Linked DNA regions of Lytechinus pictus. The protein of the gene in region 2 purifies or fractionates together with the protein of the main gene of each other region. This does not show direct contact. Links are inferred from orthologs where the notes say so. Each region holds a gene or a part of one and is shown on either strand. Other genes may lie near its edges.

Evidence for each region.
Region 1: the proteins of E2F-associated phosphoprotein-like (region 2) and protein AAR2 homolog purify together in Homo sapiens (affinity purification with mass spectrometry; 4 studies listed by BioGRID and IntAct, counting the BioPlex papers as one, with this or other methods). This does not show direct contact. The link is inferred for Lytechinus pictus from reciprocal best matches to the Homo sapiens genes EAPP and AAR2.

The regions. Positions count from the first base shown.
Region 1 is NC_087252.1:7,312,724-7,329,633, reverse strand, and holds the start of protein AAR2 homolog, read right to left. Parts: upstream 7,550-16,910; 5' UTR 7,441-7,549; intron 1-7,440. Other genes in the region: uncharacterized protein LOC129267299, read right to left, coding at 16,338-16,457. UniProt on the Homo sapiens protein: Component of the U5 snRNP complex that is required for spliceosome assembly and for pre-mRNA splicing.
Region 2 is NC_087251.1:39,827,845-39,844,754, forward strand, and holds E2F-associated phosphoprotein-like, read right to left. Parts: upstream 10,181-16,910; 5' UTR 9,699-10,180; coding exon 9,586-9,698; exon of another isoform or gene 9,394-9,585; intron 7,846-9,393; coding exon 7,667-7,845; intron 4,696-7,666; coding exon 4,492-4,695; intron 3,227-4,491; coding exon 2,649-3,226; 3' UTR 488-2,648; downstream 1-487. Other genes in the region: ATP-binding cassette sub-family B member 10, mitochondrial-like, read left to right, coding at 16,473-16,902. UniProt on the Homo sapiens protein: May play an important role in the fine-tuning of both major E2F1 activities, the regulation of the cell-cycle and the induction of apoptosis. Promotes S-phase entry, and inhibits p14(ARP) expression.

The DNA.
Region 1 (16,910 bases), on a different chromosome or scaffold from region 2:
TGAAAGCTGAGATCAAATCCCTCTCCACCTCCCTGGAAGAAGCAACACGGAAAATTGACGACTTAGAAAATCGATCTCGCAGAAACAACATCGTGATATGGGGCGCACCAGAGGAGATAGAGAGCCAAGATTGTGTTCTTTTCATCAAAAATCTGCTTGGTGAAGGGGGTCCAGCTACCAATACCATCCAGAGGGCCCATCGTTCTGGGTTCATGTCGACAAATCCCAACAGAAAGCCCCGGCCAATTCACGTTGGTTTCAACTCCTACTTAAGTAAGGAAGCTGCAAAGAAAAGGCTGATTTCAGTTTTTAAGGCAAACACCTACAACGCTGGAGGGGTCAAGGATGTTTGGATGTACGTGTCCGATGATTATTCACGCTAGGTACAACAAATGAGAAAGGAGAAGATGCCACTACTCAAGGAGCTGCGGAATAAAGGCGCAAAAGCCATCCTAATCTACCCAGCCACTATTAAGATTCGTGACTCTACAGGTCGTCTGATCGACCCTTAGAACTATGGAACTTGCCCATCATATTCAATTCCATAAAATCCTCATACAGTAAAAAAAAAAAAAACAATCTCATCTATGGATTATGGATAAGCCAATATGACTTCATTGTTTAGTTTTTTGTTTTGTTTTTTTTCATTTTTTTTTCAAACTTTATTTTTTTTTTTTCTCTTTCTCTCTTCTATTTTTGTTTTAATTATTTCTTTTTCTTTGGTGGCATATGGGAGAGATACAAATGTCCATTCAGATTTCTGCAACAGGTACATGTATGCTCAAGCCCTATAACTAATTTTCAGTCATGCCATGTATTGTCCAATATGTTTTGAATGTTACAGTAGCTTAAGGTGTTGGCAATTCTGTAAGCGTGCTGTGTTTGTATATTAACTTGTATATATGTTAATATATTAAAAAAAAAAAAAAAAAAAAAAGGTAATAGTGCGTCCAAGAATTGTGACTGGTACAATGTATGCATGTATGCTCTAATTGAAAATCATTCTCAATGTAATCCATGGAAATAAACTAAAGAATGTGATTTCTAATTTATTTTATGGTGAAATATGAACAGATGATTCATATTTGCGACCATAACTAAGTAATGCTAGACGTAACATGAGCATGAATGGCTTTTTAAAGAGACATTACATTCATGGTATTACATAACTTTAGCAAACGTAATTAGTTAAAACAATCTAGCTAACATTAGATCTATCTAGAATAAAATGATAACTAATATGGTACTAAATTCGATTCTTTTCCTAACCCATTCACACGAGTGCAAGGTTAGTACAAGTATTAGTACACTATTACCTCGCACCAAGAACAGCGTTTGGCAGTGGATTTCTAGCTAGTGGATCGCACGTGCTGCAACACCACTTCTGGCATCCACAACACACAAATTCTAGTATGACTATGCCTTGATTTTTCTGTGTGCGGCAGCATATAATAAAACCTTGAGTGTTCCTAACATTATAGCATCACTTGCATCAATTGCAGTCTGCAACCACTAATCTGTAATTATTTATTAATTACAGTACACACAAAACACATGCACAATAACAAATCTTGACTTTGACATAATTAAAAAGTTAACTTCATTTCATGATCTGTCCTGTCTAACGTTAGAAGTCTACCTAAAATTAAAAAAGGATCATACGCCTACGATCATTCGCCTATGCTCATTCATTTTGACCACACCCACTGCACCATGCCCAGGGGCGGAAATCTCTCCCAAAAGGTAGGGGGGACACAGGGGCGGATCCAGCCTTCGCCAATAGGGGGGGGGGGGGGCGGAAATTCGTTTCAGCCATATTTTCCCCGATCGGCAGCTCGAAGATGATTTGTGTTTATTTCTTTGAAGGGGTAGTCCTCATTAGTCACTTCTTAGCTTTATTCTTATAAATTCATATATAATATCATAATCCTTATTTATGTGATGCGAGCGCGAAGCGCGAGCTAATTTTTTGGAAATTGTATGTGTTTTTTCCTAAAATTTGAACATTCTGGGTAATGTTTGTTATCCTGAAAAAAATGTGTATGCAACTTAATAATTACTACGAACGCAAAGCGCGAGCAGAAATGAACTGATGGAAAAGATACCTGTTAAAGACTGCGTGCAGTTAGCATTTAACAATTAAATAATGCGAGCGCGAAGCGCGAGCTGATTTTTTTTGGACATTTTCACCTAAAGAATGGAAATTCTAAGCACTTTTTGTAACTCAGGCAGAACAGGTTTATACGTAGACAATTGATGCGGGCGCGAAGCGCGAGCGGAAAATTTCGAGATTTAGTCCTATAATATTTACTGAACGAGACACTCTAGTCATGTTTTGTAAATCATGAAAAGGATGAGTATTAATAATGTGAGCGCAAAGCGCGAGCAGAAAATTTTTATATACGTTTTGAACTGGTACCTGTTGAAAAGGTACCTGGTAAGGACTGCTTGCACTTAGCCATGAAGGCGTTACATATTTCAACAATTAAAAAATGCGAGCGCGAAGCGCGAGCTGAAAAATTTCTTAAATTTTAATCAATTTTTGTAATCGTGAACAGGATAGCTATATTATTCAACAATTGATGCGAGCGCGAAGCGCGAGCAGAAAAAAAATCGAGATTTAGACCTAAAAATGGGCCACTCTGTTCATGTTTTGTAAACAGCCATAGGCTGATCGAGGGCTTTTTACCGTGTTTAAATAAAATAAATAAATCAAAATCAATGTTTTGTAAACCATGAAAAGGATGAGTAATAGGGGGTCTTCCTACATTAATAATGCGAGCACAAAGCGCGAGCAGAAAATTTTTGATATTGTGATCTGAAACTGGATAATGATTTAAATTGAGAACAAATTGAGTATTTGAATAAACATGCGCGCGCGTGTTCCATATTTAGACCTAGAATCTAGGCATTTCTAAATACATCTTTAATCATGAAAATCATGAAACTTTGATATTCCGAGCTGAAAAAGAGTCAATTACACTTTTATATTTCAAGCACTTTGTAGGAAAATTGTAAGGTGGATATGGATCGCACTAAAAGAGCAAAAATTTTCATTATTATCACTTTGAGTTTTGACATAGGACCGGGACATCCTTAAGCGCGAGATGAAACAAAAGGGACAATTTAATTATTAAATTAATATCATATTTATTAATGCCCAATGAGGGCGCGAAATCTGATGATATTATGGCATAAAAACTGGAAATTTCACTTTGTAATTATGAATAGGCTGCATCAGTTAATATATTTTTAACCATTAATGCGAGCGCAAATCGCGAGCTAAAATTTTTGATAAACTGTCATAAAAAGGGGATTTTAAGTAGTTTGTTGTATAATCAATATTGAAACATACATAACTCGCCAATCAAAATGCCAGCTTGCAGCGCTAGCTGATACGTCTTGACAATCAGACTGACCTGAAAAGGGATATTTTGACAACTTTATAGAATACACGAAAATAATAGGTACCTGATAAATCAAAATTTGCGAGCACGCAGCGCAAGCAGCAAATGTTGATAAAATTATTCAGACCATAAAACTGACATTTTTACAGAGCACTTTTTAAAAATCAATTTGTAAATCACACAAAATAATGAAAGTTCGATTTCTGAGGTGAAATATGTTTTGTATATTGACTTCCAAACTTGATATTTGAGCTCCATATTGAACAAGATATGTAAATCACCTAACAGGCAATGCGAGCGCGAAGCGCGAGCGAAAATTTTATATAGTGGCACGAAAGATTCTTTTTATTTTCCAAGTCTTCCCCTCATTTTATTTTATGCACTCGTCGTCCTTCTCTTCTTTTTATCTTCTCTTTTCCCTCCTTTTTTTCCTTTTTCCTTCTTTCTTTCCTTTTTTTTCTTTTTTTGCTCCGCCAATAGGGGGGGGGGGGGCTCGGCCCCCCTGGATCCGCCTATGGGGACAAGGGGCGGGAAAATTTGACAAGCAAAAAAAAGGTTATCATCCCAAAAGTATGGTCATCTCGTCCCAAAATACATGTTTTATTTCGATTTAGAATGATGTATTCTTACCATCATAAAATAGTAGGGGGGACTAAGCTTGTAACCGATTTTGCAATCGGCAACCGATTCCATTCGATTTCACCACAATCGGCAATCACTTGCCGATCTTCGATCATGCCCCTTGAAGGAAAAAATCGAAAAAAAAAAATCGGCGTAGATCTGGTTACAGTGCGTGATCGCTCAGAACATATTTCAAGATTGTTTTTGAGGTGCTAGCTATTTAGAGGTCGCATTATTCAGGGAGAAAGACGCGGTATTATCTATGGCGATGTTTAAGAGGAAAGATGGTGATAGCTGATGCCGCCGTGAACTTTGAAAGGTCGTATTACCGACGGAGCTCACTGCGTTACTCTCTTACATCGTTTATGATGATATACATTTTATTTTCAACCTCGTGGTGATAGCGGATGCCGCCGTGAACTTTGAAAGGTCGTACTATTGACGGAGCTCATTGCGTTACTCTCTTACATCGTTTATGATGATTTACATTTTATTTTCAACCTCGTGGTGATAGCGGACCCCGCCGTGAACTTTTAAAGATCGTGCTACTGACGGAGCTTACTGCGTTACTCTCTTACATCGTTTATGATGATATACATTTTATTTTCAACCTCGTGGTGATAGCGGACACCGCCATAAACTTTTAAAGACTGTACTATTGACGGAGCTTATTGAGTTACTCTCTTACATCGTTTATGATGATATACATTTTATTTTCAACCTCGTGGTGATAGCGGATGCCGCCGTGAACTTTGAAAGGTCGTACTACTGACGGAGCTCATTGCGTTACTCTCTTACATCGTTTATGATGATTTACATTTTATTTTCAACCTCGTGGTGATAGCGGACCCCGCCGTGAACTTTGAAAGATCGTGCTACTGACGGAGCTTATTGCGTTACTCTCTTACATCGTTTATGATGATATACATTTTATTTTCAACCTCGTGGTGATAGCGGATGCCGCCGTGAACTTTGAAAGATCGTGCTACCGACGGAGCTCACTGCGCTACTCTCTTACATCGTTTATGATGATATACATTTTATTTTCAACCTCGTGGTGATAGCGGATGCCGCCGTGAACTTTGAAAGGTCGTACTATTGACGGAGCTCATTGCGTTACTCTCTTACATCGTTTATGATGATTTACATTTTATTTTCAACCTCGTGGTGATAGCGGATGCCGCCGTGAACTTTGAAAGGTCGTACTATTGACGGAGCTCATTGCGTTACTCTCTTACATCGTTTATGATGATATACATTTTATTTTCAACCTCGTGGTGATAGCGGACCCCGCCGTGAACTTTTAAAGGTCGTACTATTGACGGAGCTCATTGCGTTACTCTCTTACATCGTTTATGATGATATACATTTTATTTTCAACCTCGTGGTGATAGCGGACCCCGCCGTGAACTTTTAAAGATCGTATTACCGACGGAGCTCACTGCGTTACTCTCTTACATCGTTTATGATGATATACATTTTATTTTCAACCTCGTGGTGATAGCGGATGCCGCCGTGAACTTTGAAAGGTCGTACTATTGACGGAGCTCATTGCGTTAAGTACTCTCTTACATCGTTTATGATGATTTACATTTTATTTTCAACCTCGTGGTGATAGCGGATGCCGCCGTGAACTTTGAAAGGTCGTACTATTGACGGAGCTCATTGCGTTACTCTCTTACATCGTTTATAATGATATAAATCTTCTCTTCAACCTCGTGGTGATAGCGGACCCCGCCATAAACTTTTAAAGACTGTACTATTGACGGAGCTTATTGCGTTACTCTCTTACATCGTTTATGATGATATACATTTTATTTTCAATCTAGTGGTGATAGCGGATGCCGCCGTGAACTTTGAAAGGTTGTATTACCGACGGAGCTCACTGCGCTACTCTCTTATCCCCTTTATGATGATAGACATCTTCTCTTCAACCTCGTGGTGATAGCGGACCCCGCCGTGAACTTCAAATTGATTTGAAAACGCTAGCTACCCAAAACATTTAAATAACATATTTCAAATCATCGTGCGTGCTTGCGTCTTCTACTACATTTTAATTGCACTTGCGACTTTAAGATGATGCGTCGTAAGAGATCATTCCAATAATTCTAAATCGCTAGCACCTAAAAATACTTCTAAAAGATGTCCCGCCGATCGTTCATTAACCTGTGATCTATGAGAAATATTTTCATTTTATTTTCCTTTGCGCCTTTGCTCGGAAGATGCGTCTTTCGTTTATCTTTCTAATAAAAATCACTCGGTTTATTTTAAAGCAATAACACCTCAAAACCCCTGGCTTTAAAACACGTTCCAAACGATCGCGCATGTTGGCGACTTCCATTCCAATAATGCATTCGTCTTTGTGACTTTGTCAGGAAGATGCGCGCGACCGCGAACAACATTTTGATGTATTCCTTTGTTTTTAAACATCGCCGATTCGATTTTCGATTCGATTTCGATTTTAGAAGCTTAACTGCCGATCCGATTTTCGATCTGATTTTTGATCCGATTTACAACATTAGGGGGGACATTTGATATTGTGTCCCCCCTACTATTTTGAGTAGGGGGGACACGTCCCCCCTGTCCCCCCTGGGATTTCCGCCCATGACCATGCCATGGCGCGCCACACACTCATTTCTGTCTTCAACATTTCTTTCAAGTTTCAGTCCAGCTTCAAATGCCTGCAAATTTTCATCTTATTCAAAATAATTACATGAAAATTAAGACCATTTTAGCCCCACGAGTTTTATTGGGTCAACGATCTTGGGCTCAGATCTGCCGCCATCGAACTCCTTAACGTTACTCATTCTCTAACACTACAGTAGTACAGTTAACGTTAGACAGCTGGCAGCCGTCTGTTTCGCGGAGTTTTTCAACATTTTTTGATTTTTTTAATTTCTCCTCATACACATATGTATTTGGTGAGTGGAGCCAACGTAGTTCAGCGTAACAACCAACATAACAGAGACCGAAGCTTTTGGTCTAAGTTAACGTTAACAATACTTGGCCAAAGCCACCCAAGGGTTCATTACATGCCGCCGCGCACAGAAAATTCAAGCCATAGAAGTCGTGTGTTGTGGACCCAAGAAGTGAGATCCCAGCACGTGCGACCCACAAGTTAGAAATCCACTGCCAAACGCGGTTCGTGGTGCGAGGTTAGTATACTAATACTAACCTCGCAATACGTGTGAGTGGGCCAAAGCCAAGGCAAAGGCAAAGCTAAACCAGGTCTCCGTCTGCAACAAACACAGAAGTGTACAAATGGGACTACGACTTATCTCAGCATAAAATAGTTCTTACTTTTACGGCTCTATGTATTGAGACAAGTCACAGATCATGAAAATATATTTAGACAATGCCTATTCATTACAATTCCTAATTATTGTAAAACCAAACGCTTTTAATTACTTACCAGTGTAATATAGTGATAAGGATCTGAAAAAAAAAATCGTCTGCCAAATGATGTGAAATTATATACAGTAGCCGGTTGCGCGGTTCGGTTCTTAACTTGCCAAACGGTAGTTGGCGCTAGAGCAGAAGTCGACAAAGGTTAACATTGAGTTTGACGTTGGCTAACGTTAGTTTTTCTTTTGTATTGCCGAACGTTAGAATGTTTTTGGGGGTCTTTATATTTATCATTGTTGTTATAAATGTAAGTTTTAATAATTGGGAAGACATCGATGGTTTGATGGAAGGGAAATGGATATCAAAGCGTATAGCTATCTCTTCAAGAACAATTTTTTTTTAGTTTGTGTTTTGTTTTCTTTCAAGAAAACATGGTAATGATAAAAATAACATAGGGCCTATATAGTCATCACCACTCCTCCACAACCAGTATATCTTTTTTATTTCTTCTTTTTGTTATCTACTGGAAATTTGTTAAGGAATATAATGCTGATTATTTTCAAACATATATTTATTTTTAACTTTTGGGAATAAATACAATTATATTGGCATCACCCTACAACTGAATGGATTAGGCCTTTATGATACTCTGCCCCATCATATTTTCATGTTTATATCATGTTTTCCTCATCATATCCATTCACAGTAGGTAACCATCATCATCATCATGTTCATGATGATGATGATGATGATGATCATCATCATCACCACCACCATCACCATCTTCTTCTTCCTCCTCCTCCTCATCATCATCATCATCATCACCACCATCACCATCATTTTCCTCCTCATCATTATTATTCACCACCACAGCAGCATCATCACCATCATTTTCACCACCGTCGACCACTGTGACCATCATCATCATCATCATCCTTCTCTTCCTCATCCTCATCATTATTCACCACCACAGCAGCATCATCACCATCATTTTCACCACCGTCGACCACTGTGACCATCACCATCATCATCATCCTTCTCTTCCTCATCACCATCACCATCTTCTTCCTCCTCCTCATCCTCATCATTATTCACCACCACAGCAGCATCATCACCATCATTTTTACCACCGTCGACCACTGTGACCATCACCGCCATCATCATCATCATCACCACCACCACTATGATCTATCACCATTATTAGCTTCATCATCTTCATTATCATATCTTCATATCCTTATTTCTTTATATCTTACACAAACAACAAAATAGGTGACACACTTAAAACATTTTATTGGCTTAGAACACTTTATTCCAAATATGAACAGTGAAATGATCAGCAATAATTAGCAGTTCTAAAACAACTTGAAATTTGAATTACATAAAGATGAGAATAAAAACTTACAGACCAGAGTAAATATCGAGTCCTGAAGATATACCACTGAGAACTATGTATGAAATCAATTTCATTACCATGCTTACTTTCTCATTCTGTTAGCTCCTTTTTTTCTACAAAAATGAAATGTGTGCATGCCGACTGCATTAATGTTCTGCAAAGATCTCAGTGTTTCTAAAAAACATCACCTCTAAATTCTAATGTGACCCATATGTCTCTTCATGTTTGGTGCCTTGTATTAAAATTCATTCAATATTAATTTGACTTCCATCATTTAAGAAACTGCCTATGACTTCTGAAGTACATTTTTGTTATATTCTTTTGATAACAGCTCACATGGGTCATATTCTCCCCCAAAACAATAATTTTATTTGGGGGAGTGTTGACATATTTTGTACTCAAATTAATTCCACTGTAAATTTGCAATCAATGATTTAACTTTTAACAAAAGCTAAGAAGAAGATACTTGCAGTTACAAGAAACAAACCACTAATAAACTACAATTTTGCAATCAATCGCAAGACTTATCACTGATTGAACTACAATAAAAATAAAAAAACTTGAGCGAGGAAGAAATATTAAAGAAAGGTACTAACAAAAAGGGAAAGAGAAATAGAGGGGATATCAATATTGTTCAACTTAAAAACAAAATACAATTAATGGTTTTTGCAAGAGCAATGGACATGACTTAGTCTTTAAACTTAGTCTTCTCTTATCTTCTTATATGCAATGATATATATATATAGTTAGCGTATCCAGCATCAGCAATGACCAAGAAATGTATGGGCCCATGCACAAGCATAATAGAGTCACTATTGTCCCCAGACAATTGGGCCCATGAAATGCTTTGTAGGATCTGATGCTGGATACATGCCTGGTATCCAAATGTTTGCTATACAATCAAATATGTACAAGAAATGCACAAATAAAATAATGTACAATTTGATAGACCCCATAAGCTAGGGGAATGTCACATTGCGTTCTGTACACCATCCATAATTATCAAACTTCAAGCACCTCATGGCCATACGCAGCGGGGGGGGGGGGGGGGGGGGGCAAACTTTCATTTTTTAACTGAAAATTCACCAAAAGTACATGTATGCACAAATCCTTCTATTTCATTTAACAGAATGCAGAGGCGCCCCAATGACAAGCTCAGTCGCTTTGCTCTCTCGAATTAAGTTTATTTCATTGAAAAAGCCAAAAAATTCTGCTTACGGCCATGAGCATCTTAGCAAAAAATCATTCTTTGATACTTAATGACACTTATTATTAAAGATAATAATAATATTACCAGCATGCTTAATATATAGCGCATATCACTGCCAAATGCGTCCCTATGCGCTTAATTGGATATTATTACCCTGGCTATAGCCCCACAGCCTATTACAGAACGGTGGCATTTCAAGGAATAAATTCCTGCCAAGTACCCATTTACCTCACCTGGGTGGAGTGCAGCACAATGTGGATAAATTTATAGATGTGATACGTACAATTAATGTTCAAATAATAGTAGCTTGTGCAATCTGACCCAAGAGGGGCATGTCACATTGCGTGCTTTACATCATCCAAGCTTGATAGTTTTGGAAAAGCACCTTTCACGAGGAAATTTCATTCTTTGAAGCTACAACCTCCCTGTTCTGCAGAATCCGAGGTACATGTAACATTGAATGGCAACAGATGGCAGTCTACTCATTAAAAGTAGAATTTTTTTTTTTTAGGGTTGACTAAATTACAGTTTATGTCACACTATTCTGATATTGAGTCAATCAATTTCTCAAGTCTGAGTACTTCAACTCAGAATATATTCATCTTGGAATCCATTCCAAGTCATATTTGATTCCACTAAAATGAATGAGTACACATGGAATTTCATACAATACACACTGAACTCAATGTCCAAAATATTAAGAACAGTATTAAACAGGAAGTTTCCTGAATTATTCTACTTCTTTATACAGCTAACTCATAACATGCCTGCAAGGTTAGGATTATTACTTTTTAGGGGCCATTCTCCCCCCCCCCACAATGGTGCAATTGCTGAATTTTTTTAGTATTTGAGAAACCACATACACTTTCATGTACAATGAGCAAGATTCTATGGACCCATCCAGACTCAGGGTGGAAAGCAGTTGTGCGGCCGAGCAAAGAACGGCGATTGACTAATTTATACCAAAGAAGTGTACATTTTAAAGACCCCCGGTGTAGACCATTACACCCACTAAAGGGATGCCTTTCAATTACAATATGTGTAATATTGGTATTACTGCTCATGCATATCATTTGTCGGTATGTTATTATTATAACATCTTTTTTTTTCCTTGATGATGATTTCCACACTAGATCTGAATGGGTTTTTATGGTAAAAGCTGCAAGTACATGTATCTATTCATTTAAAGAATAAAATTGACAGGTAGATCAAAGGAAAAGGTAGCAAAGAGAAAGAGAGAGAAAGAAAGAAACAGAAATAGCTGAGAACAGACAGTGAATAAAGAGGGAGAAGGGGGAAAAGAGGGAGAGAAAGAGAGAGAGAATGAATTAGCAATGTCAAGACAAAATTTTATCAACTCACAACTACATATGGTATACAGAACAAGCATATAAATATAATTTGTTCATTAATGTACATTATCACTTTATTGAAATCATACCTTATATCTACAAAAACAAAACATTGTGAACCATTTTAAATAAAAGATGGGTGCATCATCACTTCTACAGTTCAAATCATGTCAGGAATAGATTCAATCATCACCAAGAAGTAATTGGGCACCATTCAAAGATTAACAAATTGCTTTATAAGTGAAATAATTGATAGGCAACTGCTATTACATTTATTCTCTGAAAGTCCTGAAACCTTTTAGATATTTCTTACTTTGCAAAAAATATGGATGCAATAAATGGTTGCAAAACAAACATGCTCTTTCAAAATACATTCTGAGTAGACTAGTAGAAACATAGCAACAAAAGTTTGATATTCTTATTTAAAAGCTAATTATGAATAAAAAGGTACTTGAGAAGGTCTCCGTTCATAATCTGTGCAATCATATTCCATGAAAGTCGCCATAGCAATAATAGATCACTGACTTTAATAACTTGAAAATAAATTGAAAACAATGATTTTCTCGGAAACTGCATTCTTTCAGCTCAAGCAGTATGCCACTCAAGTTTAATAAAAGTAGAGACAGTGATTTTCCGTTTAAAAAAAAATTGTATTTTCCGTTTCAACTTGATCTAAAAATGGAAATTTTGTTTTGTCGCTGAAAATGTACACAGCAAAAACGTGAATTCCGTTTTGCTAAGGTGAATTCCATTAATTTTTACATGAAAAGTATAAGAATCAAACAGAATTTCTGTTTTATTTACAGAATTTCTGTTTTATTTACCGGTAAAACGGAAAATCTCTGTCTCTATAAAAGGTGCGCACTAAGACATTTGTGAGGAGTAACAGAATTTTTACAGAAAATATTGATTATTAGATAAGTACATTAGTAGGTAACAACTAGAATAATAATATATAATAAACATCATCTAGATTTAATACGAAATCTAGATAACAACAAGATAAAAAATTTGAAAATTCTATGTCTGATTATAAGGAAGATTATTTCCCTTTAACAAACATATAAATATAACTCCAAGGTCCTAAAATGTAAGATGAGTTAAATGTGTAATTTTGTTGAAGAGTTAACATTTTTATTATAAACCAAGGAAACTATCTGAAAATCCATCTACAAATAACTTCACGCATCTAGACATGCCTCTCAATATCACATTGAGAAATTCTAACTCTGACCTTGGTCTAAACTTACAGCGAGTTTCCAACAAAAATTGTTTGTAAGTTCAAAACGTGAAAACAAACTCCACTTCAGTTTCAATACAATTCCTGAAAAATATAACATCTTCACAATGCTGTTTCGTAAAAGAAAATAATCAGCATGGAAAAGCAATCTTTTCTTACCAATTTTAAGAAGAAAAAAATATTTACATATGGCATTTTGCACCCATTTGGTTGGCCGAAGTAACTGCTTCAACCATACATTCTACAGTATCAAAAAACAAGGAATAGATAACAATATTTATAGACGAAATGGATACAACTTACACAGTTAATACATCTTCAATGTTAATTACAATATTCACAAATATAAATGGATATCCAAAAATGTACAATCTTAAACATGATAAATGCAATCAAAAAGAAAAATTACATAAGTCAACTGGCTAAAGTACTTTCTGATTGATACTGTACAATAAACAAGCTAACCTTTTTTTTAACAATCTTTTTCAATATTTTTTCTACAAGACGCTAGAAGCTGAGGGAGCAGAAAAAAGAACGATTACTCAAAGCAGATTAGTTTGCTGCAGTTTCATGCAAAAAAAATAGTAGAAAATTTGAAAGCAATCCGATGATAAGAGTTGATCATGATTGTCAACTTCTCCTTTTGATTTCATTTTATTTCATCATCAATGCCATATCACGTTGAAGATGGGCACATTATCGTCTTTGGCAGAATTTTTACAGAATTTCTATTCAAATGGATCTTCACTCAACACACTGAATAACGGCTCTTAATGCGAGAATTGGATGGAGAGTGCACTTGTGTTGATCCATCAGGGTCAATGAACTTTTTTTATATGTGTATGTCGGGGTCAATGAACTTTTTGAAGTGTTATTCAATTATGTTTTTAATCTTTAAATTGGCAACAGTATTTCCTTACATTTGTGATTTTTTTAACATCTAAAGTTTTTGCATCAGAATAAATTGAAAATTATCGAATTTGCAGTTTTCAAAATGTTGTCAATATATTCAATAATTTTAGTGATCACTATTAATTATAAGCATTTCATATTTCCCTTTCCCCCCTTTATTTTCATTTATTCTGCACAATTTCTATAGCCCTTAAAAAAATTGGTACTGATTGCCGATGGGTTGAGATAATCTTGTTATTTTTTCACTTTGAAAATTGCTAGGCAATGTATAATAATTTAGAACAGGGTATAATGTTGCATTATGGGTCAACATCAGTGCACACTCTTCCTGAATCCCAACATAAGATGGCGCTTTTCAATGTTTAAGTGTAAATGTCACTTCAAATGGAATGTAATAACCCTTAAAACACAAAACACATTATTTGTAAGGCACAGCAAATATTTCAAGACGACATTAAGTAATTTATTTCAAACCATTTGTGACCAATCACCATCTCCCTACCTGGTAGAAATCTTCAAATTCTTTTATTGATTATTGGACTTTATTTCTGTAATCTTTTATGCGCTGTGAGGAAATTTTGCAAACACAAATATACATCACATTCATTTTTGCTCTGAAAATCATTCTAAAACAGAAGTTTTCTTTTCTTCTTCTTGTTCTACAAAAGCAGTTAATATGCATTTTCCTTTTATTTTTTCCTTAGAAATATGAATAATTCTGTGGCAGTTTCGGATTATACAAAGCATACTGTACAAATTACTGGGTAGAATGCAAGCAGACGGCCCGACTACCCCCAACGCAAGATGCAACACAAATTTTCAATGAAATTGCTAGACAAGTATTGATATGCTGTTGGCTCTTATATGCAATTAAGATCTAATTCAATAAAACACTAAAATAGCTTGGATTAGATCGCAACTTGTGCTTTAATTGTTATAGCTCTCTGTAATAAATGAATGCTATGCTGTTGTTGGAGAATTCGGTTCATATTATGTAATAACTGCACAAGTCAGAAATCAAAAACTTTAATAACATAAACATGACTAAAGAACTATTTTGCAGAATTGTAATAATGTAGTGGGTCTTGTTGCACAGAACTTGTTATCGATTGTAACAGACAAGCTATTGTTATAAGCTCCTGAAATGGTATCAGTTAATTGGCTGACAGCAAATTTCTCATAGAATTCTAGAATCTGTGAGAACAAGTTTGTTTGTTGTGATAAGGGCTTAGTGGCTTTTGAGAGTGCAGATTTGATTAAAATGCTCAAAAGTTTGCCCCCAAGAAAGAGTTAACAAAAGGTTAGAATGGCCAGCATTCGCAAACATGAACAAATTTACCAAAAAAAAAAATTATCAGGTGAGCTTATTTATAAATCACATAAATACCTCTTAATGCAAGCAAGAAATTTGAAACAGGCAGCAAAATTTGAATAAATCCCCCTTCATAGGAAAAAATTGCGCTTTGGAAATTGTGCAAAAACATCAACTTATTTACATTTAGCAGTCTGTCATTAACATTGTTCTACATAAATTGCCAATATGATGCTCGAATAGTGGTTATAACATGAAAGCACGTTTACATAATAAATACTTGCCTTTTTAAATCGCAGTGCATTTTTCAAAGTGCTGAATCAAATCACATTACATAAAATATCTGGTGAAATTCAGAGCAAACGCAACTTAAATCAGCTCTATGATACCTTATCCATATGTTCAATTTTCCACACATCATGCTCGCAGCTAAAATCATTAACCTTGAATAAGCCTATACAGCATAACTCCGAATAACTATATATTACATTACAGATGTTGGTCACTCTTGGAGTCCGACGACACCATTAGAACACTGTGAAAACGGATAAAATCGAAAGTAGGTACATGTAAATAGTTGAGAAAAAAAGTCAAACTTTGTTGACAACAAAATTATGTGATGGAATTTGACAGTTCCTTTCCTCCCTGCTCCATCATGCATTAAGTAGAAAGATTGGAATCCTGAGAGACTATTTCACTAAGAGCTACGTTTGACCTGGGCCCCATCTAACAAAGAGTTGCGATTGATCCGATCAACCACAACTATGGATGGCCACCAATGTCTACATCTAAAATGCAAATTTGTTCAGAATATTTTCTAGATATGATGTGTAATCATACGTACTTTCATCATTCTCTTGAAGATTCAGTGCGATGTTCTTTGTTTACCAAGGAGACTGCAAATTTCCTGCAGAAAAATTATGGTATGGATGGATATCCATAAAGTTGAGATTGATTGGATCAATCGTCACTCTTTGCAAGACTGGGCCTTGAAGTCATTGTTTGATATGCAGTAGCACACGATACCTGAGCATGGTGCGGTGATGAGATTGATACCGCACGCAACTGCAAATTTAAGTGCGACTTTTAGTAAAACTTAAAAAATCTTTGTGAAACACCTCTCTCAGGTCAGATTTCCCGATCAAATCAAGTTACTTCTCAGGAAGTCTTGATATTCTTGAATCTCAAAAACAGCAAATTGGAGATGGAATTTATTTTTATTGGTTTCAGTAGACAGGCGGCGACCTCCTCAAAGCTAGAACTTCAAGAAATTCTAATTTGTTATGGCTGGAATAAATACTGGTGTTTCCAGTCGGATTTGGTAGGCCGTTGTTTAATTTTTTGTTGCTTCCCAAATGCCTTAATCTGTTCCGGCGTTGGTCATTTCAAGTATGGTTAAGGTCTCCGGCAAGTCTCGACTGATGTTGAGACTTCTAGGATGAAATCATTCCAGCTCTTCACATGACGTTAGATCAATGACAATGGAGGATATATGTTTTAGTACCACTCGATGATTATATACAGAGTTTCTAGAAATCTTGATCACACCAGGATGGATGAATAGACGACAACGCCGTCCTCGTTTTTAGGAACCACTCTATCTGAATGACCAGCGCCCGATGTAAGGTCTAAATCGGCATAGTGCATGCCTGGTTGCTCGTTCTGAAATAATAATATTAAAAAAAAACCAGAAAATAAAAGTGGTTATTATTGTAGTGACATAAGTGAAAATCATCAAAACGACAATAAGCAACATAAATAATAAAAATTTAACTTTGGAAAGAAACAGGAAAATATAGAAGAATCAGAATGATGACAAGAGCAAGATGGAGAAGATTATAAAGTAGCACTATTATAATAATAGTAGATGAGGAAGAAGGGTAACTAGAGAAGAGGGAGGAAAGAATGAGGATAAGAGGAAAGAAGGAGGAGGAAAAGAAGAAGATACATGACAAAAAGAAGATGAAGGAGAAAAGAACGAAACAGGAAAATGAAAAGTACATGTATGTAAAGAACTCGAAGAAGAAAGTGTCTTAGGCAGAGGGGAAATGTAAAGTAAAACAAAAATATTTTTTTTTTTCTTTTCTAATTTGCAAAAGTCAAATCATGACCAAT
Region 2 (16,910 bases):
CTGAACATCTCATGCGAGTTTCAGGTCACATGACCAAAGGTCATTTAAGGTCAATGAACTTTTGCCATTTTGGAGGTAATTATTAGATTGCTGTCATAACTTCCAAAGTTTGCAGATATAGTTTATAAAAGGTGGATATAGGGGTAATCAAGTATCACTGACAAGTCTTGGGTCAAATGACATTTATTGTCAATGAACATAATATTGTATCATTATATGAATGGTGTTTTTTGAATAATTATTTTATAATAGTTTTCAAAGTCAGCACTGCTGCTATATTGAATCGTGTGATGCAGGTGAGACTGCCAGAGCACTCCACTTGTTAATGACGGACATCACAAATTCCGTAACGAGTGATGGGTGCACTTGTCTAAAAAAGTATATCATGTCGGGATTGATTTTCAAACTTGGTCATTGCAGAAACTCTTCACACGATCGTAATATCACCATAGAATACAATTTTACATGACAAAGCAGAGAAAATTACTTAACTTTTTGATATTTATTCCCATCAATTAGAATTCATGAATATAAAATTATGTCTGATCAATCGCGCATGCACAATGTACTTCTTTATCTCGGAGACGTCTGGAGATATCTTTGTTGACATTACCAACATTTTTAGTATGGCCATAGAATGTTAATGATTTAACAATAATCATTCAAATAAATTTAGAGCTCAATTTGAGACATTTGTATTTATTTCGATCGAGTCAGTGCTCTGCAATTGTCCTGTGTCTAAAAATGGATTATCAAAAATATTGTTATCAGGATTAATTCAGGATTAATTACTGTACTTAAAACTGGATATCACTTTTTAAACATAGTTTTCCATAGATGACATACAATTATTCATTACAATTGAATTTAACTTTTCTTCATAGTTTGCAGTAAATTTCCAGTTATGCCTTCTTGTACAACTGAGCTGGGTGTTCTATGGTCTTGCTACAGCTTGATTACCTTTCGTTCTAGCCTTTAATTTCCACCATTGCCCATAAGGAGCAATGGGATTCATCTGCCCTGTATTCTCCCTACGACAATAGTGTGAGTACACTGCAAAAATACAAATTAAGATGGTAAATTGCAAATTGGTCTATACCAGCTTCGTCGACATTCTGTTTTGTATCATCCTACATCGTCTAATCATTCGTCTCCAACCAGTTTGTCTACTACTAATAATAGTAAGTTCTTGTATAGCGCACAACACATTATTAATAACGTCTCTATGCGCTTCCAAAGGACTTGGATATTATTACCCAGGCTGTAGCTCAAGCAGCTTTTACGCGCTCGGCATTTCAAGGAATAAATTCCTGCCAGGTACCCATTCACCTCACCTGGGTTGAGTGCAGCACAATGTGGATTAATTTCTTGCTGAACGAAACTATGCCATGGCTGGGATTTGAATCCACGACCCTCTGTTTCAAAGTCCGGAGACTAATCCACTGGGCCACAACGCTCCACTAACCATTTGGTCTATTGGTAATAGCTATGTAGCCAATTCATCATCTGTGATGGTTCTACAACCCTTCATTTAGATGTACCGTTATGAACCAAATTTTCATTTGACGTAGTAAAAATTCACAAGCACCAAGGAAATGGAAATTCGACAGACTGGGCATAGACTAAATGACAATAGGACGGGGGTATTAGACCAAGTGTTGTGTAGATCGAGTTCGTAGCACACCAAATGGGTTGAGCCCCTGTGATATTAGACCATATGAGAAGTAGAACAAGTGAAAATATACTATAAATAATGTCATTTTGATAAAACTCCTGTACTCAAACTGTAAAATAACCAGAAAAACAGTTGAAAAAAAAATTGCAAAGAATGCTTGGCAATCCAGGTTGCTAGTCACATTTCACAAATTATGCTCACTGGCCCTTATTTTGAACTCAGGCTTAAATTAAACCCTGGTTTAAAGTTGTGGTTTAACTATGGAAAGCCAGTTGTTACATAAATCTCTAACGGTAGAGGTTCAATGAATCAGCTCATTTGACTCCCAAAACATTATTAACTGCCTGGGAAGGATAAGTATGACAATTGTCTTCACCATTAAATAAGTAGTAAAGAGCACAGTAAACATGAGAAGCATTCACTGTAAACAACATTTGAAACGTTTCCCATGATTCTAGCACAGAGTTAGACCATGGTCTAAGTTAAACCCGACTTCAGAATACGGGCCATTAGAATTTATATTTGAATACTCAGTAGAGTACATGCATTAGACAGGATTGGACAGTGCATGTACATGCCGAAATTTGGAAAAAAATAGAATTTGTACCTAACATTAATTCAGTATTAATTAGTAGAGTCATGATTAGTGCAAGAGGTACAGGCAGGGTATCATAACAAACTAAAAGCTGAACAGTCACTTTTTCAAAAAGTTAAAATATTATATTTGATAATCTCTGAAAATGAGCCCTCGAATATTGGATTTCACTTTTTTATATGCACTGGTAAAATCAAGATTCTTCAAAAATATGATACGGATTCATGAAACTGTGATCCTCTGATTTTCAATGGGTACATAAAAAAGTTTAATGCTTGCTGTTCATCTGTCAGAATAGATAAGTGAACATCTGTAATCATGGACTGGGAAATGTCTGAAATCCAAAAGTAGGGTCCTCCAGAGTCAAAGATTACGTCCTCAAGCAGCACTTGACAATACATTGAAAAAGTGATAGATCTCCTGTTTGTCCAGGACGGCCACTTCTGTGTTGCAGATCGCACACTTGACAGGGTGGAAGAGTTCATCCCCAGTGGATGCACCTCCATCCTCCTCGTCCACTTCTCCCCCCTCATGCCGCCTCTTCTTCCTCCACTTCTTCTTATTCTTGGATTCAGGATACCTCAGTTGTTCGCTCCGGACAATGCAGCAGTTCATGACGAACATGGCCCTGTACTGGTTGGTGTAGAGTTCGTGCCTTTGACAGTCGATGCAGAGTGTTGTCATACAAGCAGGACAGTTCAAGATGGCATCTGTCTTGGGGATGGACTCTTGACTCTTTGCACCTTCGGCCTGATCGGGTTTGGGAGCCCGGATTGACTGGGCAGAAGCGCCAGTCCCTGAGGGACTTTCTGAAGAGGCCAGGTCATGTGATCGCTTTGGTGCCCTCTTAGGGTAGTACTGTGCTCTTTGTTTGTTCATCCAGGTTTGGTTGTCATCATCAATGTTGGGGTCATAAAGGAGATCATCATTGGTTGGAATGCGGTGTTGCTTTTTGGCTAGGAAATGGTAAAGATATTCAAAGAAAAGTGGAAGAAGGCAAGTGGTTAAGTCAAATGGTTGAAAGCTGTTTCAGGGAGAATTACTTCAAAATGAAATTTTCTTTAGTAGGGATATAATAGCTGGTATTCATCAGGCTGCAAGAAATCACAATGAATTTTTTGGTTCATTATCTTTTTCACTGATTTTCAATAAAGAAGATGAATCCTAGCACTCCATAGGAAATGTGAACTGAAATATTTTATTAGTCTAAGAGTTAACCCTTGGGTGTCATTACGAGTTCAATTTTATTTCTACATGCATCCTATTTCATACTCATACTCTGCCAACCGTCATTTGGCAAGACATCAATCTGTATTTGCCCCTCTCTATCCAGGGTTGTTATGTGGTAAAAATATGCACAATATAAATCATTTTCAACATATCCTATTAGATTTACTATAAAATATGGTCTGATTGCTGTCTGAAAGTGTCTAAACTTAATTTTCTATATTGTAACCATTTCATGGGTAAATTGCCAATTAGTATACACTTGCTTTGTCTTTACTTTTCATTTGGTCTCATCCCACATGGTCTAATCCTTGTTAATCTACAAACAAATTATCTACTAACCATTTGGTCTTATTACCATCAAGCCAATTTACAATTTTGCCTAATTTAATACATTTAGGCTACATATATCAATTTTGTTTAATATCAACTTGGCCAAACACCAATTAGTCTATAATTAGATGAACTGTATATGAATCAAATTTCCATTAGACAAAATGCAAAATAATTGGTAGCCAACGTTGAAAAATAGACCAGACCATCTGGATATTAGAATAAATGGGAATTAGACAAAGTGGGTATGAGACCAAGTATATTGTAGACCAAACAGCAATTAGACCAAATGGCCTGTATTCTAAACTCGGGTTTAAATTAAATCCTGGTTTAAAGTTGTGGTTTAACTACGGAGAGCCAATTGGAGCACAAATCCCTAACAATACACATTCTATATATCAACTCATATGATACCCAAATTGTTCATAGTTGTCTGGGAATGATAGCTGAAGTATTTTTCTTCATTATCAAAGCAAAAGGAAACAAAATAGTAAACATAAGAAATATACAATATAAACAGAATTTTTGAACTTTTGGCTTCCCATAATTTTAGCACAGAGTTAGACCGTGGTCCAAGTTAAACCGGACTTCAGAATACGGGCCAATTGGTTAATTCGACCACCATAACACCTGCAAGCTGTGATTGTAAGGATAGGCATACCTTGCTCCTTGTCTTCATCCCCACCACCTGCTTTCGCACCCTCTGCAGAGTTTTCCTTTTTCTCTTCTTCCTCTTCATCAGAGTCAAAGTAGACTTCATCATAGCACTGCTGTTGAGTAGGTCCTCCAGGGTGTCCACTTGATGGTGCTGCTGACTGCCTCTGTTGTGCAATGGATCTGGCTGCTGCAGAAAGCTTTTTCTCCACTGCCAGAAATGATAAGAGTATTATAAGGAAGACACAGATGATGGTTATCCCACATAACCCTTGGAACTACTGCACATGTCATCATAAAACAATGATGAAGGAGCTAAAAATAACACAATGTTGATACATCCATGGGCAGCATAACTAACCTCAACTAAAAATTGGGGACACATTTTCAAAGATATATTTAGCCCATACTTCTACCCAACCAAAAAATTACTTTTTTTCTTTCCAGGGCTCTTTTTGGAGAAACTTAAAAATTTTCCAGGGCTACTTTTTCATTTTCCAGGGCTCTTTTTCCACTTTCCAGGGCTACAATTTCTGGAGCTATTTCGCGGCTTTTTTGCGTTTGTGTGTGTGTGTATGTGTGTGTGTGTATATATATACACGGTAGCTAGCATATACCAGGGAAGTATAACACTTCCCTGGTTTGACCTTCGCATTGTTTCTTCGAAGTGATTGTTTATGATTTTAGTGTTGTGATGATAGATTGATTTTGATGCTTGAACGATATCTGAGTTGATTCATGGACCTAATACAGACCTATTCAGATTAGATCATGGAGGTAGAACCTCCATGAATTAATCCAAGTTTGAATGTTTGATACTTGGTTGACGTGAGCTTTGCGTGTTTACTATTTAGTGTTATAGCCCATTTGCTAAATTAATCTAGAAAGATCTGTATTCGTGTCTAAAGACAATGTAAAAGAAAAAGAAAGTTCTGAATTTGTACAATTCTGAGGTAATTTATTTTATCATACAATATAGGTACCTGCAAATGTTATGAAGTTGAACAAATATCCTTCGTACATATTTGACTGAAAGTTATTTAAATGACACTTTAAAAAAAAGACTTAAAATTATTCATACAAAATAATGATACAAGTCATAAAGGTCATTGAATTGTTAAGCGTTCGTATCAGTTACACAGATTCATGACAAAAAGGCCTACCAGAACCAAAACTGGCAATTTCCATCATCCATCATGAATGCCTAGCCTTGCACGGCCTCTAATTGAAATGAACTTATCCACGTCTTTGCAAATTTTACCTGACCTAATTTCTCCACACAGTGAGAGAGGCCATGTGGCAGCCAAACCAAAACAGAATGAAAAGGGCGGCAATCTCGTACCCCCCCCCCCCACCACCACAAGAATATCAGATTTCCAAACATGTGCTTCTCAAGATTGTGCAATACATGACGGAGACAAAGAAAGTTATGTAAACAAATTGCCGAGGGTTGATGTCCCTGAATTAAGGGGCTAGTCTACGTTTTCAGTCACTTAAGAAAATGGCGAACTGGCCAAAGGTGAAATACATCATTGAAAAAAAAATGAATGTTTGGATTAAAATAACGAAGATTAAATGAAATATGACTGAAAAATATCCATAGTTGAATCTCTACTTTTATTACTGACAGAACAATAACATCATTTTTTTTATTAACTTCTTGCCAATATTCCAATAAGGCAAGACTCCCATTTAAGACTAGCAAGCAAACGTTATCAATGGGATTTTTGAATGAAAGAAAAAAAAATCAAAGCGTGATTTTTTTTAAAGGGATAGACGAGACTCTTGTTTTGAACAGAGATATAAAAATATTTAAAAACAAACAAGAGGTGATAAACACTTCATTAAAATTATAATGAAGTTCGTAGTGAATTACAACTTGTAAAAGAAGAAATTAACAAGAATAATAGGGAAATAAAGTTTGGAAGAAAAGAAGGAATGAGGAGAGACAAGCTTTGGGGGGAAGGATCAAGATGGGTGGCTGCAGCTCGACATGGGGCTAGAGAGTGTACATAAATGGGAGGGGGGGGGAGCAATCATCTATCAAGTCGCCCAAAATCTTACACCTTCAAACTTCTCACACAATCCACACACAAATCCCAGTTCATGATACAATCACAAGTGTCGCTCAACACATGCGCACGTGGTCTCTACTGGCATTTTACAGTCACACACACAGAAATACACACTACACACAATGCACACGATGCATCCCCATACCACATGCAGTCACACTGAGCCTAAAGCACACAAGCAGAGAAACGTTCTGCTCGAAGTGTATGACTCCTCGGCTCCAAATTCTACATTTATTTTATCTCAGTGCTTGGAGTCGGCGCTGGGGCCGATTTTCGTCCATGAATGAGAGAGCATGGCAAAGACTCGAGTCCCTTTATCTCAGAACCGCCGCCGCTTGGTACTCGAGTCTCCAGAGATCAGGGTCGACTCCCCGACTCTGGCATTGAGAATCGGGTAGACTCGATTACCCGGCGCTGGTTCCCAAGCCTAGTTGACGGGGGCGATTATGAGTTTTGCAGTCGCCCTCGTGTGAATGTTTTTAGCCCTTTTCCGGGGCTCTTTTTGGACTTTCCGGGGCGAATTCGCCCGCCGCCCCCGTGTAATTTTTTGGTTGCTTCTACCCCCCCAAAAAAAAGGGCTGAATACGTATGATTAACGCAGTTTCAAACTAAATATTTCATAATTAGACACCAACTTACTGCTATTCATTCAAGCCCTGTCTTCTACTATTGTGATTATTCATAAGTGTCTTTCGCATTATGAATAATTAATGAGCCATTTTTTAGAACTTAAATCAAACTCCTTAAGGTCACAAAGTTGCAAGTCACACTGATCAATTATCAGCCTGACAGGGCCCATCTCAAAATATTAATAACCATATTCAATCCAAGTTTTTACTTCTTAGTTTCCTTAGCATTGGAGCTAAGCAGAATGGTGGTAATTTGGACACAGATTGTCTGCTGGTAGAAAATTTTAGTTCTTCATCCCCTGTTTCTTTTGAGGTACATATTCACCCAAAAATAAAAATAAAATAAAAATTGCTCCAAATGTACTTGAAACCATGCGAAAAGGGAGAATTTTTCGACTTGGGGAATGATCATGCTTTACACCTTCCAATAGGTAGTGCCACCACCGGGATTTTCTCTTTCCCTTATACATTAACTCACCATTAACCCTGAATTGATTCTCATGGTTTTTCATGGTTGCATCCAGCTCCATCTCCATCTCTTTCTCAAAATCATCTTCACTGGAGGACATCTGAAGGCTGCCTCGGCTCAAGCTCCTCGTCAAACGACGTTTCTGTTCTGGAGTCCCATTCAGGATGATATCTAACTCATCTTCAGAGCTACATTCAGAAAGAAAAAAAAACAGTGAAAGAAGAAATAAATAGCTTAGTCTTAAAAGCAATAAAAATTAGTAGACAAGAATTAATTTCAAACATGCATGACAATTTTCATCTTAATCATCAGATTATTAATTATGTAAATCAATATTGCTTTCCTTTTCTTTTTATGAGGATCTAGTCCCAGTCTTATATAACATGGAAATGTAACCTAACTTTTCATAATTTTAGAGTTTGAACATCAAATTTATGTTCTCACAAGTGTTGCGCAGGCTGGATTCCGACTTCTTTCATATTATGTAGATCTAACTTAATAAATTTAAAATTGGAATCACAAATTGACAGGTTACCTATTCAAGATGATGGGGTAAGGAATCAATGTACAGGGTGTAAGTGCAAACTTTTATTCAAAATAATGAAGTGAAAAATCAGTACTACAACCGACAGTTATCATAGACGAGGTGAAGTTCAAGTTCAACCACAGGCCACACTGTCAGTGTCACTGACAATGTTTTAGTTTTTGCTTTGAGTTTGACTTTGTGAGAAATTGAGACTGATCATAACCGATGGATTATCCTCAAACCTTAGTTTTAGTGGAGAAAATGTCCGATTAAAAAAATTCTGTTATTTATACAATTAACTTTTTGTGTTGGTGAACTTCCCCTTCAATTCAAAGTTCACCCCCGCTATTCTTCGTTGGTTACGCGTAGCCAGGAGGCTCCTAGAGAGTAAAAATCCTTTACCAACCTATGCTTACTCTCCACGGAGCCAGGAATTGCGTCCCATTCATGTGCATGTACCGCAAAAAAAATGAAACTTTCGCCCCCGAGATTCTACTTTCCTTCCAAAAGATCTAGCCCTAAATCAAATGGGATACAACTTCATTTCCGACATTTCTACGCTATTGATTTCATTCTCATACAAGAATTCATTAAAAAATATGAAAAGACAGGGAAAACTTGCCACCATGTTTACGTCGCCATCTTGATTTCTTTGTCTTTCGCCATATGCGTGCTGTAGGCATGTAGCCTTGGCCTTGCATGGCGAAAGACAAAGAAATCAAGATGGCAACGTAAACATGGTGGCAACTGGCAAGTTTTCCCCATCTTTTCACAATATTTTTTCTTGTTTTTTTAATGAATTCTTGTTTAAAAATGAAATCAATATCGTAGAAATGTCGGAAATTAAGTTGTATCCCATACATGATTTAGCTGGGCTAGAGCTTTTTTAGAAGGAAAGTAGAAATCTCGGGGATGAAAGTTTCAGTTTTTTTTCGCGGTACACGCGCATGAATGGGGACGCAATCAAATCCCTGGCTCCGTGGAGAGTAAAGCATATACCCAGTTGTTGTGTGTCCGGACAGGTTGTGTGTCCGGACGATCAATTTTAGAAAGTCATTTGGAATTGGAAAAATTTACAAGCGAAGTTTCATAAATTATATGTTAGGAAATATTATAAAGAACAAAATAGAAGATGATTACAAGTATTGAATTTATATTTTTAGTGTAATCCAAATACAAAAAAGAAGGCTTCAAAAATATAAAGTGTCCGGACACCCGACCCCCCATCCTACCACGTTAGTAAATGATTTTTACTCTCTAGGACTAGGAGCCTCGATCCTGGCTAGTTAGCGGCCGCGACCGCGCACTGATGCAGCCGGGCCGCCGGGCGATCGCGACAGACAACGGCGCTCGAGCCGAGAGGAGGTTGCACAGGATCCGCCACCCAGCCCGGCCAGATTACCTTTCATTTTCCTCATCGACATCGTTGACGCTACGATTTCCACTCCCAGTTCCACCCCTTCCAAAAATATTGAAGGGAACATTGCACACTCTCTGATCGTGATCTTCATCCATGGTCAAGCTAAACTAATCTGGAAGTTCTTGTGATAAAAATCTCACTCTTTTTCGGCAATATATGGGACTGAAGCCTTCTATCTTGTTCGACGGTGCGGTGGATGCGACACCGGAAGTCTCCGTCATTTGCCTTACCTCCGGCTCCGAAGGCCGAAGTTTGTGGGGAAATTTTTCGACAGCAAATTTCAGGTAATTACAATTGTTATTATTAAAAAAACTGATTGTTTCTAAAGACAATTTTATGTGGTTCATTTCGGTATGATTGATTTGCAATAATTTTTAATTTCAACATGCTTTTTTACTAATTCTTAATTATAGTTCCAAAATGAATTTCGATCCGTAAACATGACAGTGAAAATACAGTATGGGACTGGCAACCGTAGCCGGCATTGCGGCGCGCGCTGGCTCAGTAGCCCGATATACCCCGGTCCGGTGGTTGATATACCCCGGTGGTTGTGTGTCAGGACTCAGTCTTAGGACACATGACTTTTACTTTTAGTTATGAAAAGTTTACAAGCAATTTATTTGATTTTATTAGCACAGAATGTAAGAAAATGTTAATAAAGAACAAATAATGATGGTGATCATGGTGATAAGCACTATTCAACCTATATTTTTGGCTTAGATTAGAGTGAAACTTAGACTTATTGTCTCATAAATAAGAGTCATATTGAGAAGTGAGATAAACATAATTAGTGTGAGTGAGCCAGGCCCAGGACTGTCTCAAGTCAAAGTCTCAAGCCTCAAGCAATTCTTCTGTGTTCGGACACCAACCCCCAATGGGTGTTTCCACAGATCCAAAACAAATTTCCTGAAAATGAATCCTTAATTTCCCGAAATTAATAGACATTTCCTGGAATTTTCAATTTTGATTTTTAACGAAAATCAGGGAATATGATGGGGTGTCCAAACTTCGGGCACTTTTCAAAAATATTCATCAGGCTTAAATATTTTCACAAAATATTCCTAATTTATACAAAACCAATTCAAGAAATAGTAACCACATTGACGGCAAGATCGTAAACTATAAAATCATGGACGAAAATGTAAAGTAGGTCAAGGGGATTTGCCGGTATCGCGATCTCAAAATTCTATTCCGATCGGCGAATGCGCGCTGTGCTGGAAAACCGTTCAGAAAAAGTGTGACCTAACTTCGCGGACCAAAGTTTTTGTGGACATTTAAACAAAAACTCAAGCTCAAAAAGTGAAATATTTATATCAGATCGATGGCAAAATGCTATAGAATCGGTTAGTACCACATTTAACTCACATTTTTGATGATTTCTGCTTGCAAAATGGTGATATCGTGATGCTTGTTGAAAATATCAGATTTCTTCAAAACAAGTGCTAACGGTGACAAATTTGCCGATCTTTTGCCAATATTTTCATGAATACTGAACTCATCCTAAAGAAACTTACACCAAAGGGTAATTTTAGGTCGCTTTTCACGTTGATTACGTCAGATTTAAAGGATATTGGCTAGTTTTTTAGATAATGACCGTCCGCGAAGTATGGACACGCGCGAAGTTTGGACACACTGCCATACAATGAGCCTAAATTTGGTCCAAGAAGAAGTGACCATAATCAAGAAATTTAACATTTTTTTGTTCATGCCATCTTTAAAAATAGGAACAAAATTATGAAATGGGAGCGCAGAGCGCGAGCAGAAAATTTTGAGCTACGACGACGGAGCCTACGTCTGGAGCCGGAGGTAGATCTTATGTTGGATCTAAATCTTACTACTTCACTGACTGTCACTGTTCTTAGGATACTTAGGGAATATATAGTGGGACCACCACATATCGACCACCTTGCACGCATTAAAATTATTGCATATATTACAAACGATACGCGCGGGAGATAGGCGCAGTGCCCATTGGAACGGTAAGAATCAATTTTACGAGAGAAAAAGAAGGGGTAAAAGGTAAAAATTTAGTAGAATTTATAAAAATTGTTTTTACTAGACCCGAACCCTGCCAAAAAAACAGTTGTTCATACCAAGAAATCCGATAGGAAACGGCTTTAGAAGAAATATCTGTCTCCAATTGTCGAATCATGTGCCGGAGCTCGCAGTGGAAGTAGTGAGATGATCATTTAGCATGTTGTCATCATAGAACTGATTTGGAAGAGTCAAAATATTTCGCCACCACAACAAGAATCGGCTGAAATGTGGGAATCTGATCTGCTCAATTTTCTGCACAAATGAGACGAAAACTAGGTTAAAACTGATAAGTATTTTCGCAGATACGATTCTTAGAAAATTAGGTGGTCGATAAGGGGTAGTTCCAACCATACTGAACGAAGTCATTATGACTCTGTATTCAGTTCCAAATTCTTTCTCCTCTTTAGGATGGCCGGATCATCTTTAAATACTACAATGAATATTTAAAAGTTGTTACGGTTAATTGTCGTTTAATTGTAATCAGGGGCGGATCCAGGATTTTCCAAAAGGGGAGGCATGCACATTATGATTTATCCAAGGAAAAATTGGACCAGCAAAAAAAAAATGTCTTCTTTTTCAAAGGGGGGGGGGGCACACTTCTGTTTTAACAGTATTTTTACATGACAAATTTCAATTTTGCTTCTCAAAAAGGGGGGGGGGGATCTGCCAGTGATTGTAATTTTTGGATTTCCCTGAAGTTCCTGGAATATTTTCATTTCCAAAACCTTTCCTGGAAAGTCGAAATTTCCTTAATTTCGGGAAGAGTGGAAACACCCCATCCACTTGCACTCTTCAACCACCCTGTCTGTGGTGAGCCTATGCAACATACAATGCACATTCAAAAACTTTTGTGATTATAAAAAAATCTCAGATCCATTCAGTTATGATTTGTTTTCATTCTAGACTTAGAAATAATTTTTTTCACCAGAGCGCTCAAAACCTTTCATTTGAGCATATTTTTGTGAGACCCTCTATTGGTGGTATTAGAGATTGATGCAGATCTTCATCTTCACAGACTCGCTTTTTAATTAGAAAAAAAAATATCATTTAGTTTTGGGCCAAGGCATATTTTTTTATGATGAATTTACTGTAGTAAAAACTGACTGCCAAAATATCAAGTATTTATCCAGTCTAGATCAAGAGAAAATAACCCAAACGTTTAAAATCTTTTTCTTTTAATTTCACCACGCAGGGGTTACTAATTGAGGACAAGGTTACATATCATGGCCTTGTATTATTGGATAAGTGCCCCCATCCTACCACTGGTTGTTGCATGTCCGGACGGGTTGGGTTTTATGGACCGACGATTTCTTCCACTAGGTCTAGTCATTTGAAATGGTTTGAAATTAAAATCAATTTTTTGTAGTTTTCAAAGAAACTTTTAGAATTTAAAGGCCTAACGTAGCATACATGTATGCGTAGACCTCTACTCTGTTGATATTCCCGACCTTTCGTTTGAGGACGCGCACGCTTATTTACGACGGTAGTTGATTTTGGAAGAGACTTTTTGGGCCCGTCATCATGGTCGTAAAACTCTGTCCTGCAATGCAAATTGTGTGACATGAGATTATTTTTTTCGTTTCGCATCTGCGACGGAAACATTCAATATGCGTTTCGTGTGCAAAATTCTGGTTGCTACTATGGTAACAGCGATATATCCGATTGAGGACGACTTTCCAAAGCAACATTTGACTCCTCCTAGAGCTCGAGAGGCCGCCCGGGGGGCCCACTTCCATTGATTAGTGGATACCAGGAGCGAACACGCGTTAAAGGGGACAGAGTGGGCAGGTACGTTACTTATAGGCCTATGTAACGTAATAAGGGTGTCAAAACGATGTTTAAAATGCTGAAAAAAAGGGATATATATATACTTGTAGGGTTTCACAAGCCAAATACTTGTTAAGAGATGCATTTTCATAATCTGGAAAAGAATTGCTTCCCTTGTTTAGGGTACTTTTCGAAACCTCATGGTCGTGCCTGGTATCCACTCATCAATGGAAGTGGTCCCCCCGGAATTTGAATCTAATCCCCCATTTCTGGGGAAAGAAAAACATAATGCCCATTACATCGTGTGCGAGAGGCATATCGTTTGTGTAGAAGGAGTAAACAAAAGAAACAAAAGAAACAAAGAAACAAAAGAAACGAGTTCAAACGTATTGCATATGCTGTGCGCATATCAACGCGCGCGGAATTTTCGGCTGGAGAGGTTGATCTGACCCATGAAATCAATTGCCAGTGATCCACCAATAATCCACATCAAATGTAATATCGATTCGATGGACTGTAATGATCTATATCTAAGCCTTCATTCAGTAAGTTTTTCCTCACTCAATATGTACTCAATTTGTTTGAAAAACCACTTTCTTATCCATGTCATAATCTATTTTAGGTCCTGCATTTCGAATATCTCCAGCCATCAGTCGTAATATACATGCATGTATGGTGGGTGTCGCGGAAAAGGATTTTGCACACGAAAAGCAAATCTGTAGGGCCTGTAACCCCCCTGTAACACAAAGCTTAGCATTGATCGTAGAGCAGTTTTCTACGTTTGATTCTATTGACTATAATGCACAATCAATCTTAAAAATCAAGTGTATGATTAAGCGTTAACTTTTGTGTTAGGGGTCCCTAATATTAGCGTCCGTGAGGACTGCGAAAGGTCCCAATTGATGGTGTGATAACTGATTTCAAAAGCCAATGGCAATACATGCTTAGTTGACTTGATAATCATTGATGCACCAAAGTTATCTAAGTTAGATCATGATTTTTCTCAATTTCAATAGGGTCTACAAACTTATTACTTGATCTAGTTAGGCATATGCTTATAAGTTTAAGTTAAACTTCATAATTTCTTTATTAGCATTTTACCAATGTCATTCCATTTCTTAAGCATGTTGAGGAGTTCTAAGTTATGCACAATTATGTCTAAACTAGGGTCAGGGAGTAGGACTCCCTCTTATGTTAAAATGATTTTATATTTTGATAGAGCCTGTAGCAATCTTCTGTGATGTTGAAAATTGACAAAATGCAAAAAAAATATATTATTCACAATTATATATAATTCGATATATCACAAATATATATCGAAAATAAATGATTCTGTACTTGAAGGCCTTCCAATGTAGAATTGATTTGAAAACATTTTTTTAGATGGGGATATAATATATGTGACATCTCAGGATCGAACGGGCTGCACTTTTTTGGAGTTTGGTAATTCGATCCACATGAATCTGAAAGTGTAGTGGAGCCTAGATACGAACCATCGCCTGAGGTAGATACTGTACATACCAAAATATGGCTTTATTCCGTCAAAATCTCAAGCGTGTGTAATTCTCAATGGCATCGGTTCATTCCGTCAGAAAAATAAATACCCAATACTCTTGGAGAGTAGACTAGTCGTAATATCGGTTGATAACCGCTATGAAATCCATGGCTTTGAAAAATTCCTGCTAGCTTAGTGAGTAAGGCGACAGACTGGAGATGCCTCGTTCTGCAGCGAGAGGTTCGAATCCAAGTTCCAACCGGAAGTACAAAAAAAAAGAAAAAAAACGATAGAAGGGGGTTTTAGAGAAGTATTTTTTAAAATTAGTGGAGGGGACATAACGAAGTCTTTCCTATTTACTATAAATTTATCTTTATTATTTCTTCCTTTTCCCCCCGTCAAAAAGCAAAATTTAGGAGTAATCGAGGAGGGTGCGCCCACCCTTTTCTCCATGATGCTGTAGTTTGGGCGTTAGTGGAGCTCCACCATTAGGAGCGCAATGGCCATCATCCGTCTGTGTAGGAGGAGGACAACCGGGGGGGGGGGGGGGCAGTCATATATATTGCTGTACAGTGTACACATGCATGATTTAAAAAACGCGTTGAAAGGGGTGATTTTTTTTCAGGTTTGGACGCATGCCGCGCATGCACTCGGAAAGGGTATCAAAAACACAGATTTTCCAAAAAAAGGTGGTTTTTAAAGAATGGTCAATGGTCAATCACAGGGTCAAATGTATTTTTTTCCAAAGCTTTTTTTTTTAAAGAATAGCCAAACAAGTATAGGGTATGTTTTTCGACCAGCTTTTTCACGAAGGTCATATTTTGGCGATAAAGCCTGCAAAAAACTTGTTTACATGGTTATTTTGCACACAGAGAAAAAACTTGTTTAAGGGGTGTTTGGAAATAATTTGGTCATGCATGTGTACAGCTACAGCAATACATTTGACTGGCCTCCCCGGGAGGAGAAAAAAGATCAGAAAAGTTGAAAAACTCTGAAGAAACAGTAGATTTATCAGTCTAGCGTGGTGTCCACTGCCTGGAATTAGCCTTGAGGTCTCATTGATGATGGATCAAGTATTACTAAACATCCTGCCTGATTTTCAGGTCACATAACTAAGGTCAAAGATCATTTAGGGTCAATGATCTTAAACCATGTTGGGGGAATCAATATATCGAAATCTTAACCAAGGTACATTTTTGAAATGTTATAACTTAGAAACTATATGGACCTCGTTCATGAAACTTAGGCATAAGGGTAATGGTGTATCACTGAAGATCCTGCCTGAGTTTCAGGTCACATGACCAAGATCAAAGGTCAGTTTGGTAGAGAAATTCTGTTCTCCATAGGCTACTTGTGTTTTGGGGGTTTGAAAAATAACCGGATGAAGAAGAATGTTTTTTTTTTTTGCCTGGCATTGGTTCTCTGGTGTGAATGTGGCATTACTAATCACACAAAAATAACAACTTTGTCAGTAAATTACCTAAATTCTCTTATATGACTAGGTATCTGGTCTCAGGAAGGAAGAACCAGAGGAAGTCCATTCATCAGTCAAGGGTAAACTACCTCAAGAATGTATCTCCTGGGCACTTCCACCTTTATGCATCGGTTACCCGTCTATGGCAAATGCATCATCTCAAATAGTATGAACAGGACAAAACAATGCCTTGATTGTTGCCATAAATGTATTCCCTCAAGGATATTCCCAGGAAAGGCAATAGCGATTCCCCATTCGTCTTTCACACCAGCAAGGGTCTTCTGCACTTGCAGGATTTTCCCAAGGACTATAAAGCAGTACTACTTGTCAACACTGAGACCTTCAAGATGGAGTGCCCTAGTCGGTACTTCCAGGAGAACTTTTCACTCCTCGTCAGTCAGAAGAAACGGGTTCAGGAGAGCAGACTCGACCAAGAATGAACCTATCCCTAGTTTGACGGTTCCAAAGAGATCGGAAATCTGGAGGTTGCTGTCCTTAGCAGAACCTGAGAAATATAGACTTGCCGGTAAGTCA